Linked DNA regions of Callithrix jacchus. The protein of the gene in region 1 interacts with the protein of each later gene in a pairwise test. Links are inferred from orthologs where the notes say so. Each region holds a gene or a part of one and is shown on either strand. Other genes may lie near its edges.

What was found. The genes of interacting proteins can lie anywhere in the genome.
Region 2: the proteins of JADE1 (region 1) and YJU2 interact in a two-hybrid assay, tested with the Homo sapiens proteins (2 studies listed by BioGRID and IntAct). The two-hybrid records come from large-scale screens. The link is inferred for Callithrix jacchus from reciprocal best matches to the Homo sapiens genes JADE1 and YJU2.

The regions. Positions count from the first base shown.
Region 1 is NC_133504.1:68,404,244-68,409,838, reverse strand, and holds the end of JADE1 (protein Jade-1), read left to right. Parts: intron 1-861; coding exon of another isoform or gene 862-920; exon of another isoform or gene 921-980; intron 981-1,284; exon of another isoform or gene 1,285-1,461; intron 1,462-2,484; coding exon 2,485-3,395; 3' UTR 3,396-4,116; downstream 4,117-5,595.
Region 2 is NC_133523.1:4,012,350-4,017,834, forward strand, and holds the end of YJU2 (splicing factor YJU2), read left to right. Parts: intron 1-817; coding exon 818-968; intron 969-3,586; coding exon 3,587-3,699; 3' UTR 3,700-4,101; downstream 4,102-5,485.

The DNA.
Region 1 (5,595 bases):
CTCCTGCCTTGGACTACTGTTTAAAGTTATAGCAGTACCATTCTTGGTGCTTGCGTTGTGCAATCATAGTTGATACACTCTTGTTTTTGTGCATTTGTGGCTTTTTGTCACTCTATCTAGATTATTACAGCATATAGAGACAAAAAGTAAGTTGTTATAACCTGTTGCCCTCAGTCCAAATTCTGGTTTATCTAACCAGTTATGTGCAACTAGAGGGAGCTGGGTCAGCTGAACAAATAAAAAGTTTAGGGAGGTTTAAATGATGTTCTTGAAGTGTTACATAGTTTGAATGCAATAACTTATTGATATCCTAGATATTTTCTTCCCATGATTAAGTATTTTCCAGATGAATCAAGTGTTTATCATTAGCTGCAACTTGGAGTTTGTTAAGATTTTAAAAATAAATTTTCTAAGTAGGGTGTCATATGTAAAAGTAGTTTGATTCAGAGTCTCTACAGTGAACTCTCTCTTCATGATTCCTACTTGAAGACAAATAAATGAGATCTATTTAATGCCCTTGGAAGACTATCTGGTGCAGATCATCGAGCCTACAGCCAGCAAATGCTGAGCTGGGATCACTAATGCAAGTTGTGTCTGTGGAGTTGTGCCATCGGAGGGCTTTCTGCAACTCTTAAGGCATTATGTAATGAGTGATTACCTGTAAAAATAAGCCATAAAGAGCATTTTCATCTGATTTCATTCAAGTTATTTCTCGTGGATATTGTAGGCAGGTTTTTGCATTTCATGGCTGAGGATTTTACTGGGTGAGCGAATGATAGTAAGTTTGGGAGTTGTTTTGTGGTAACATAGTTGTAATGTAGATGTGCATTCAGAAGTCTTACTATCTTCCTACTGTTTCAGAAAACGAAAACAAATCCTCCTTTCATTCTGAGATGAGAACCATAGGTATGATCAGTTGAAAACATTCATCTTCCTGGAGGATGCTGCTGAGTAAAGCTCCCAAAACCCTTTAGGTGCTTTTTTTTTCTTTTTCCAGACCAAGGCTTCAGTTGTGTTCTTATTTATGCCTAAAGGCTGTCTCCTGTCTGCAGTAGAGCAGATGGTCGTGATTTATGTGTCATTTAGGGTCCATGGTTTAAACTGTGTGATTCTGAGAGTGGGTAGGGTTATTTGGCTGAGTGAGAGTGTCCTCAGTGGAAACAGTGCATATGGGGGGAGGGTCATGAGTTGGAGGCTCTTTAGAGACATGGGTTACAGTCAAGGAGATAGAAATCAGAGTTCAGAAAATGTTAGCCTCTTAACCATTCTCTTTTCCCATGGCAGGTGATGGAGTAAAAGAAATATATTCAGTGTGATGTGAAGGTTGATTCGAATGATTGATTCTTGAGAAAGCAGGCATTTCCAAACCAGCAGGTTGTAAAATACCTCCTCCTGTGGTCATGACAGCTCTGTGTTCTGAGTCGCTAGCTATGTTTCATTTGCTTGCAGTGTTTGTGTCTGGTGAGCACTAGGTTCTCATGGCCTCCTGTCTCATACGGGGCTGAACCTTGTTTTCTTGGTGGTTCATATCTTATGGGAGACAGAAAACATGAGACTTGCTCTTGCGAGATGATCTTGAGGCTGCTGCAGAATCATGGTCTTTATGATGAACTCTACTGTGCTGTGAATTCACCCATTGGGGTAACAACTCATTAGTGAGTTGTGAGATGAATTCAGTGGGTCATGGCAAGCATTAAAAATAAAGTATAATAGAAAATGTCAAGGTGCATTATCAAGTGACGAGGATTAATATTATTTCATGAAATGTGAACTTTTACTAGGTAATGCTGTGGAATTTAGTCTTACTGAGATTTGCATAAAAATATTAAAAAACATCAGTTTAACTTACTTCAAGTTGAATGACAGTTCAGTTGAATCCCACAAAAGTATTTTGCACATAATAATAGTGAGTATTTTTTGGAACACTTATGATATATCAGTAATTATTTTAAACATTTCCTTTATTCATTTCACGTTTACATGTATTTATCCTCACAATAACCCTGTTGAGGGTATAGACACTTTAGAGAAACTTAGAAGCCCCAGTACTTGCTTTTTGGGTACACTCAGTCTCGTGTGGGAGGCATAAGACTGGACAGTGGAGAAGTGTGGCGCAGTGGCTGTTCTGTAACCAGGAAGGGGGCAGAGGCAGCCATCAGGCACCTGATGGGTTCTGCATGGAGTCCCCTTTGAAAATCAGATCAGTTACTTTGGAGGAACATGTATTATTTGAAGAGTAACAGTTTTATGAAAAATTATGTGAGCTTCAGCTGTTTTAGAAAATGGGGCATACTGAATCTGCAGACGAAATGCAGGTTTTCAAGGCAGGTCATATCTTTACTATAAAAACCAAATTTGTACAAACTTGGCATTGTATTGTTGGGTGGGGAGTTCACATAAATTGGGCCACACTAAGGGTCTAGAAGTTTATTCTTTTGAATTTGCTTCTGCTGTAATTTTTGTTTATTTGTTCTATGTTCCTAGGTGTGCCTTCTTCTTCCTGCTCCTCCTCCTCACTGGAAAACATGCTTTTGTTTAACAGTCCTTCTGTGGGCCCTGATGCTCCCAAGATAGAGGACCTGAAGTGGCATTCTGCATTCTTCAGAAAACAAATGGGTACTTCCTTGGTTCATTCACTGAAAAAGCCCCATAAGCGAGATCCTTTGCAGAATAGCACTGGAAGTGAAGGCAAAACCCTGCTGAAGCAGCCAGACCTGTGTGGTAGAAGGGAGGGGATGGTGGTCCCAGAAAACTTTCTGGGTATTGAAAAGACCTTTGCAGAAGCACGTCTCATATCAGCACAACAGAAAAATGGTGTGGTGATGCCAGACCACGGGAAAAGAAGAGACAATCGTTTTCATTGTGATCTCATTAAAGGAGACTTAAAGGACAAATCTTTTAAACAGAGTCACAAGCCTCTCAGGTCCACAGATGTGTCCCAGAGGCACCTGGACAACACAAGAGCTGCCACCTCCCCTGGAGTGGGGCAGTCAGCACCTGGCACAAGGAAGGAGATCGTGCCCAAGTGCAATGGCTCCCTAATCAAAGTAAACTATAATCAGACCACAGTCAAAGTGCCTACAACACCTGCCAGCCCAGTGAAAAACTGGGGAGGATTCCGGATTCCAAAGAAGGGGGAACGGCAGCAGCAGGGAGAGGCCCATGAGGGGGCCTGCCACCAGCACTCAGACTACCCATATTTGGGCTTAGGCCGAGTTCCAGCCAAGGAAAGGGCAAAAAGCAAATTAAAATCTGACAATGAGAATGACGGGTATGTCCCCGATGTGGAAATGAGTGACTCAGAGAGTGAGGCATCAGAAAAGAAATGTATACACACCAGCAGCACTATCAGCAGGAGGACAGACATTATCAGGAGAAGCATCTTGGCTTCTTGATGCAACAGAGATGATGTGGAAGCCCTTTGGGCTTGTCATTGGGTGTGCTAGAGGAGAGCTCTGATGGGGGGAGAAGCAGAAACCCATTAATCCTGATCTACACAAACACATTTACTTGCAATTCAGATTAAATTTTTTTTCCAGAGTCATTTTAAAATCATTTTTGTGAGAAGTTTGTGTTATTTGCAACTTGTTGAGGAAACAGAAGAGTAGATTGTAACCATACAACACTGCTAAGACTAGAACCCGAACTAAACACTAAAATAAGAATGAAATAAATTTTAAAGAGGGCAAGGCTTAAATAAGCCTCCTGAATTTTTACAGCCCTCTGCATTCTTCCCAAAGCACAAACTCGTGGTTACCTGAATACAGGGAACCAGATACGGTTCTTGAGAAACCTTCATGGTACCATTCACAGCCCATAAAGCTTATTTTCTAGGACTGTGGTAGATCTTGAAATCATATTTATATTTGGCCATCAAGGCTATTTTTGTTACATTATAGTATACAGGCAGCAGCTCTGAAGCTTCAGTAACACTAGGGAATTTATGTGTAAATATAGCAGTCAGGGAAGAGAGTTTTAAAAAAGGTCATTATTGGCCGGGCGCGGTGGCTCAAGCCTGTAATCCCAGCACTTTGGGAGGCCGAGGCGGGTGGATCACGAGGTCAAGACCGTCCTGGTCAACATGGTGAAACCCCGTCTCTACCAAAAATACAAAAACTTAGCTGGGCATGGTGGTGCGTGCCTGTAATCCCAGCTACTCGGGAGGCTGAGGCAGGAGAATTGCCTGAACCCAGGAGGCGGAGGTTGCGGTGAGCCGAGATCGCGCCATTGCACTCCAGCCTGGGTAACAAGAGGGAAACTCCGTCTCAAAAAAAAAAAAAAAAAAAGGTCATTATTGGAGGAGCTGAGGGGACAGGGTGGAGCTGCTGCAATGTGGAGATTTAGGGCAAATGTAGCAAGGTCCTGCTGCTTGAAGCCTGTGAGTAGGTTGTGGATATGGGACTGGTAGAGAGTGAGACTGTTAGGAAAGTTGTATCTATGAATAAGGGCAGTTGAAGTACAATTTTTATCAGTCTACTTGACCTTTCTCTTCCCTAGCCACTGGCTATGGAGCCAGCTTGGGATTTCCCTGGCCATTGCCAATACCTGGCCATCTGGCTTCCACTAGTATAACAGCTACTCAAGTTCAAGTGAAGAACTTCCAGACTCTGGTGACTCTTACTTCCCAGAGCCAACCACTAGTGCATATACTGGGGAATCCGGGCTTCCAACATGAACGGATTCCTTAAGAAAAAGGAAAAAAAAAAAAAGAAAAAAAAAAAAAAAAAGAAAAGAGAAAAGCGAAATAGGTTATATTTTAAAAACAATAGAAAGGCAATAAGTTGCGATAAGCTCTTACTATTGACCAAGGTTATACAGGAAAGAGATTGAAGTGTACCCTTGAATAGGTTTTCTGTAGTCAGAGTTCTAAACTCTAATTCGTAACTTGGACTTTCTAATTGCAAATGGCAATAACTAGTAAGTTATCAGCAATAATAAATTTAGCATTAAATTTGAGTACAATGTTTTGTTTTTGCACTCACTGTAGTGCATATGTATTAAGACAGTGGATAGTGTTTAGGTCCTGTTAATTTTTTTTGGAATTCAATGTGGTTGTGAATCAAACTTAAGGAAGTAAAGTTTAAATAGCAATGAGATTTAGAATTATGGGCATTCGGAGCAAGCCCGACTTCCCCAAAATTACTCCTTAGTTTGTTAATACCAATATTCAGATTCCTGATTCATTTATACATCTGTTTCCATATGGCAGGGACATTATGATACTTAATGAATAATGCTTTGAGTTCTGTAGTTAACTTTCAAGTCTTCCAGATGATTGTCAACAACAAAAAAGGCTTATTGAAATCCATCTTGCTATGCAAGTTTTATCGGATGATCAAATAGTAGATCTGATGCATCCCCATTGTATGTATAACATTTTCAAACCAAGTCTTAACTTTTCAAATACATTTTAGTAGCTAATTCAGGGGAGGGGAAAGAATGATGCAGGTTTTTAGATTGACTATTTTTGAGCTATGGGGCTCATTTTGAAAGACTGCTGTCCAGATCAGCTTGTTGCTACAGATAATAGAAGGTTTTATGAATCCAAGTTGTATATTCACTTGTAGCATAATTTAAAAATTAGATTTTTTTTTT
Region 2 (5,485 bases), on another chromosome or scaffold:
TTCGAGACCAGCCTGGGCAACATAGTGAGACCCTATCTCTATGAAAGATAAAAATGTTAGCCTGCCATGGTGCCATGCTCCTGCAGGAGGCTGAGGCAGGAGAATCACTTGAGCCCAGGAGTTCGAGGCTGCAGTGAGCTGTAATTGCACCACTGCACTCCAGCCTGGGCAATAGAGTGAGACCCTCTCAAAAAAAATTTTTTTTTTTTATAAATAAAATAGATTAAAGGGGCCCTTCTGTTGTAATTAGGGAGCTGGAGGTCATGCCAACCCTTTTCTACCTGTCCCTAACTCTTCCTCAAAGCAGCCTCTCCATTTTGACTTGTTCCCTCAAGTACATTGATTAAGCACCTTCTTGTGCTGAGAACTGTGGCACCACAGAAGCAGCAGTGGGGAAGACGGGCTCACAGTGAGTTAGGGAGAGAGTTATAACAGCCAGCAGAGGGCACAGTGAGCATGGACATGCAGCCTGCATGTGAGCTTGACTCATGATGGGCTTCTCAGAGGAGGGGTGTTTTACGTTGGGTATTGAAGGGCGAGTAGGAGTTCACCAAGGGAGTTCGTGGAAAAGGGGACACCCCTGGTGAAGGGAATAGCATGGGTAAAGGCACGAAGCTGAGAAGCCACAGTGTGATTCAGGAAGTGCCAGACCAGGTTATGTGGGATGGGGAATGGGCAGAGGCCTTTAGTGCTTAGCCTAGGGCAGTGGGGAGCCATAGAGGAGTTTAGAGCAGAAGAGGAATGTGGTCAGTGGGGCAGTGAGCATGGGTTGGGGGCACAGGGGCCAGACCCCCTCACATATCCCTATCACCTACAGACCCCAAAGCCCAAGAGGAAGGTGGAGATCTGGGAGCAGAGCATTGGCAGCCTGGGCAGCCGGCCCCCGCTGTCGGGGCTGGTCGTGGTGAAGAAGGCAAAGGCCCACCCGGACCGCAGCAACGGGCAGCCCCAGGCGGCCCCAGCCCCAGGTAAGGTCACCGAGTTTCCAGAGCCGGGCGCGGTTTCTATCGTGGCCTCTAGGTGGCGGCAGCGCTCCCAGTGCAATTAGGGAGCCTCCATTGGGTAGGTGGGGGGCAGCATCTGAGCCCCACAGGACCAGTTAGTGGTGAGTAGAGAAGTCAGGCGGCTTCTTTTTGTCTTTTATTTACAAAAGGAGCCAATGCTTGCTTTTAAAGCCCAAGTCACGTGGGAGTGTGCAAAGTAAATGTCAAATCCGTGCTTCCCTATGCGGCCTTCACTGTCCGCAGATGCCAGGCTGCCCCGTCCCCTTCCCCGGCTGTCTCTACAGCATGCGTGGCTCCGCTGTCACACACCTGGTGCTCTGCAGGGGTGAGAGCCCCACACCCCCAGCCCCGGGTAGATGGAGGATTGGGGTGCGGTCAGCATTGCCAGAATTCGGAGTGGAGCAGCCCGGGAACAGATCCCTGCAATTTCCCTTGGCTTATCCTATGGCCCTGGCCAAGGACTTCCCCCCAGCAGGGTCTCAGTGTCCTGTCCTGTAAAATGCAGCTAAGGGGACCCACCTCACGTAGATGGGATCAGTCCCCAGGTTTGGGTTGATTCTGTGAGTGCTGGCAGTTGAGTAGGCCCTGGCACACGGCGAGCCTTGGAGACGCTCGAGACATTTTTGTCAGCACTGATAAAAATTACGCCATTTGGCTGGGCACGGGTCTCACACCTGTAATCCAAACGCTGGGAGGCCGAGGCGGGCGCGTCACTTAAGGCCAGGAGTTGAAGACCAGCCTGGCCAACATGGTGAAACCCTGTCTCTAAAAAATACAAAAATTAGCCGGGCACGATGTCAGATGCCTATAATCCCAGCTACTTGGGAGGCTGAAGCAGGCGAATTACTTGAACCCGGGAGGTGGAGGTTGCAGTGACCCAAGATTGCGCCACTGCATTCCAGCCTGGGCGACAGAGTGAGACTCCATCTCAGAAAAAAAATTGTCCTGGCACAGTGGCTCACGCCTGTAATCCCAGCACTGTGGGAGGCTCAGGTGGGCGGATCACCTGAGATCGGGAGTTCAAGACCAGCCTGGCCAACATGGTGAAACCCCATCTCTATTAAAAATACAAAAACCAGCCGGGCACTGTGGCTCACGCCTGTAATCCCAGCACTTTGGGAGGCTGAGGCGGGTGGATCACGAGGTCAAGAGATCGAGACCATCCTGGTCAACAAGGTGAAACCCCGTCTCTACTGCTTTGTAAAAATACAAAAATTAGCTGGGCATGGTGGTGCACGCCTGTAGTCCCAGCTACTTGGGAGGCCGAGGCAGGAGAATTGCTTGAACCCAGGAGGCGGAGGTTGTGGTGAGCCGAGATCACGCCATTGCACTCCAGTCTGGGTACCAACAGAGAAACTCTGTCTCAAAAAAAGAAAATCAGCCAGGTGCAGTGGCATGTGCCTGTAATCCCAGCTACATGGGAGGCTGAGACGGAAGAATCACTTCAGCCCCAGAGGCGGAGGTTGCATTAACCAAGATGACAGCATTGCACTCCAGACTGGGTGACAGAGCAAGACTCCATCTCCAAAAAAAAATTATTTGTAGGGTCCAGCCCTACAGGGTCCTGTGAGCCCCTCTCTGCTGGTGTGAAGATGAGGAACTGTGGAAATAAAACCCACAAGACACCAAGAAAGAGAAAAGAGAGTTTGGGCCCAGGGGTCCACTTCCAGCCAAAGCGCGGAGGCCAGCAGTCACCCCAAGTGCCTGGACGCTCTTGAGTACAAGCAGTGGGCAGGGAAGGTAGGCTGAGGGAGTGGTGATCGGTGATAGGGTCGGATAAATCACATGTCTTGGAGATAAGCGTCCGGGACTTTCAAGGAGCCGAGGCAAGGAGATTTTAGACCAGCGGGCGCTTTCCCGGCTCTGGGGCTCCCGCACAGCCGAGGCGCCCTCCAGCAGCCTTACGCGGCGTGACAGAGGCTTGGAGCATCTTGCCCTGGGGTCACTTTGTTCACGATGTCACCTCAGTTCCGTGCTTCATAACCCAATAATCATGAGTAAAATAAGGGTTATGCTGAGTATATATCTTTATAAGTGAGTGACCAGAGGATTATATATGATTATAGAAAGGATTTACTATGGGCCTACATTTCTAATTCTTTTCTAAGTTAGTATTTAGATGGGAACAGGCTGAGGCTTCACATCCTTGCCATGGCACCTGCAGTGTCCCCCCCACAATTATTCCTTTTGTCAGAGGAAGAGACTGCAGGTCAGAGTGGCTTTCACAGCCGGGTGCAGAATCCGTCCCTGTTAATTGCCTTAGTGGGATTTTTCCTGGGGCGGTTAGGTCCTCGGTGACTGCACCTTGAACTTGGCTCCATTTCCAGTTTTTGCAGCGCGTGCTGCCTGCCTCGGCAGGGGCTTCCATGGGTCCTCGCTCAGAAGTGAGCTGTCGAGTCCAGAGTGTGCCGATGTGACTGCGACAGGTCCCATCAGGTGCCATCCAGAAAGGCCAGGCCATTCGCATGCCATCACCCTTGGGCCTTGCAAACCCGCGGAGGTAGCCGGCTCCGTGCTCCAGGCCTTGTCCCTGGCCCGTCCAGTCTGGAGCTGAGGTGGGCTAACTCTCACTCTCCCCCCAGGACCCCCACAGAGCAGGAAGGAGGCCGACCCTGCGCCCCCGACGCCCGGCGCGTCCTCCCTGAGCCAGCTGGGCGCATACCTGGACAGTGACGACAGCAACGGTAGCAACTGAGCCGTCCTAGGACCCCCACACCGGGTCAGGCTACAAGACCAGCTTCCGCCACATCGAGGCCGGCGTTGCTGGTGGTCGGGGCAGGAGGCTTGGGCGTGACCAGAGCCCCAAAGGACAAGCGCCAGCGTGCTCCAAGCGCATAGGGCCAACAAGGGCGTCAGCCCCAGGATGTCACTCTTCTCTGCCCTCACCAGCCTCTCAACACCTCGGGGACCCCTGCTCCTCCTGCCCCACCCGTCCCTACCTGTCACTGTGCTCAGGGCTGCGACATCCCTGGAATCTCAGCTTCCATCTCTACTTCAGGGTGGCGGCATTTGGAGGATGGGGTGAACCTGCCTCTAGACGGCCACATGTCTTCCTTCCACAAACTGTCAGAACCAATAAAAGGAAACCTGCCAGCCAGCCCGGGCCGCCTCTCTGTCCTGGAGTCTGATGAGAAAGCCCAGGACAAGGTCTCTGTTAGCGTCATTCCAGGGTTGGTCCACAGAGGCTTGTTTATTTTCTTTGAGACAGAGCCTCGCTCTGTCACCCAGGCAGGAGTGCAGTGGTGCGATCTCAGCTCACTGCAACCTCCACCTCCTGGATTCAAGGGATTCTCCTGCCTCAGCCTCCCAAGTAGCTGGGATTACAGGCACCTGCCACCACGCCCAGCTAATTTTTATATTTTTAGTAGAGATGGGATTTCACTGTTTTGACCAGGATGATCTTGAACTCCTGGCCTCATGATCCGCCCACCTCAGCCTCCTAAAGTGCTGGGATTACAGGCATGAGCCACCATGCCTGGCTCACAGAGGCTTGTTTTTTTTTTTTTTTTTTTTGAGACAGGATCTCACTTCTGGACTCAGGTGATCCTCCCACCTCAGCCTCGAGATTATCTCGGACCTCAGGTGTGTGCCATCATTCCTGGGTAACTTTTTGTATATTTAAGAGAGACTGAGTTTTGCCATGTTGCCCAGGGGACCTTGAATTCATGGGCTCTGGCAGTCCTCCTGCCTCAGCTTCACAAAGTGCTGGGGTCACAGGCATGAGCCACTGCGCCTGACCCAGAGTTTTAGACTTAATTGTCACCTGAGTGTGCCGAGGCTTACAGTCTGGGCTTTGTTCTTTTCTCTTTTTTTTTTCTTTTTTTCTGAGACGGAGTTTCGCTCTCGTTACCCAGGCTGGAGTGCAATGGCGCCATCTCGGCTCACCGCAACCTCCGCCTCCTGGGTTCAAGCAATTCTCCCGCCTCCGCCTCCTGGGTTCAAGCAATTCTCCCGCCTCCGCCTCCTGAGTAGCTGGGATTACAGGCACGTGCCACCATGCCCAGCTAATTTTTTGTATTTTTAGTAGAGACGGGGTTTCACCATGTTGACCAGGATGGTCTTGATCTCTTGACGTGATCCACCCGCCTCGGCTTCCCAAAGTGCTGGGATTACAGGCGTGAGCCACCGCGCCCAGCCCTCTTCTTTTTTTTAAATTTATTTCTTTAAAAAAAAAAAAATTGAGTCCCTCCATGGCGGCTCACACCTGTGATTGCGGCACTTTGGGAGGCCCAGGCGGGCGGATCACAAGGTCAGGAGTTTGAGACCAGCCTGGCCAACACGGTGAAACCCTGTCTCTACTAAAATACAAAAATTAGCCAGGCGTCATGGTGTCCACCTGTAATCCCAGCTGCTCGGGAGGCTGAGGCAGGAGAATTGCTTGAACCCGGGAAACTGAGGCTGCAGGGAGCCAAGGTCACGCCACTGCACTCCAGCCTGGGTGACAGAGCAAGACTCCATCTCAAGAAAAAACACCAATTGAG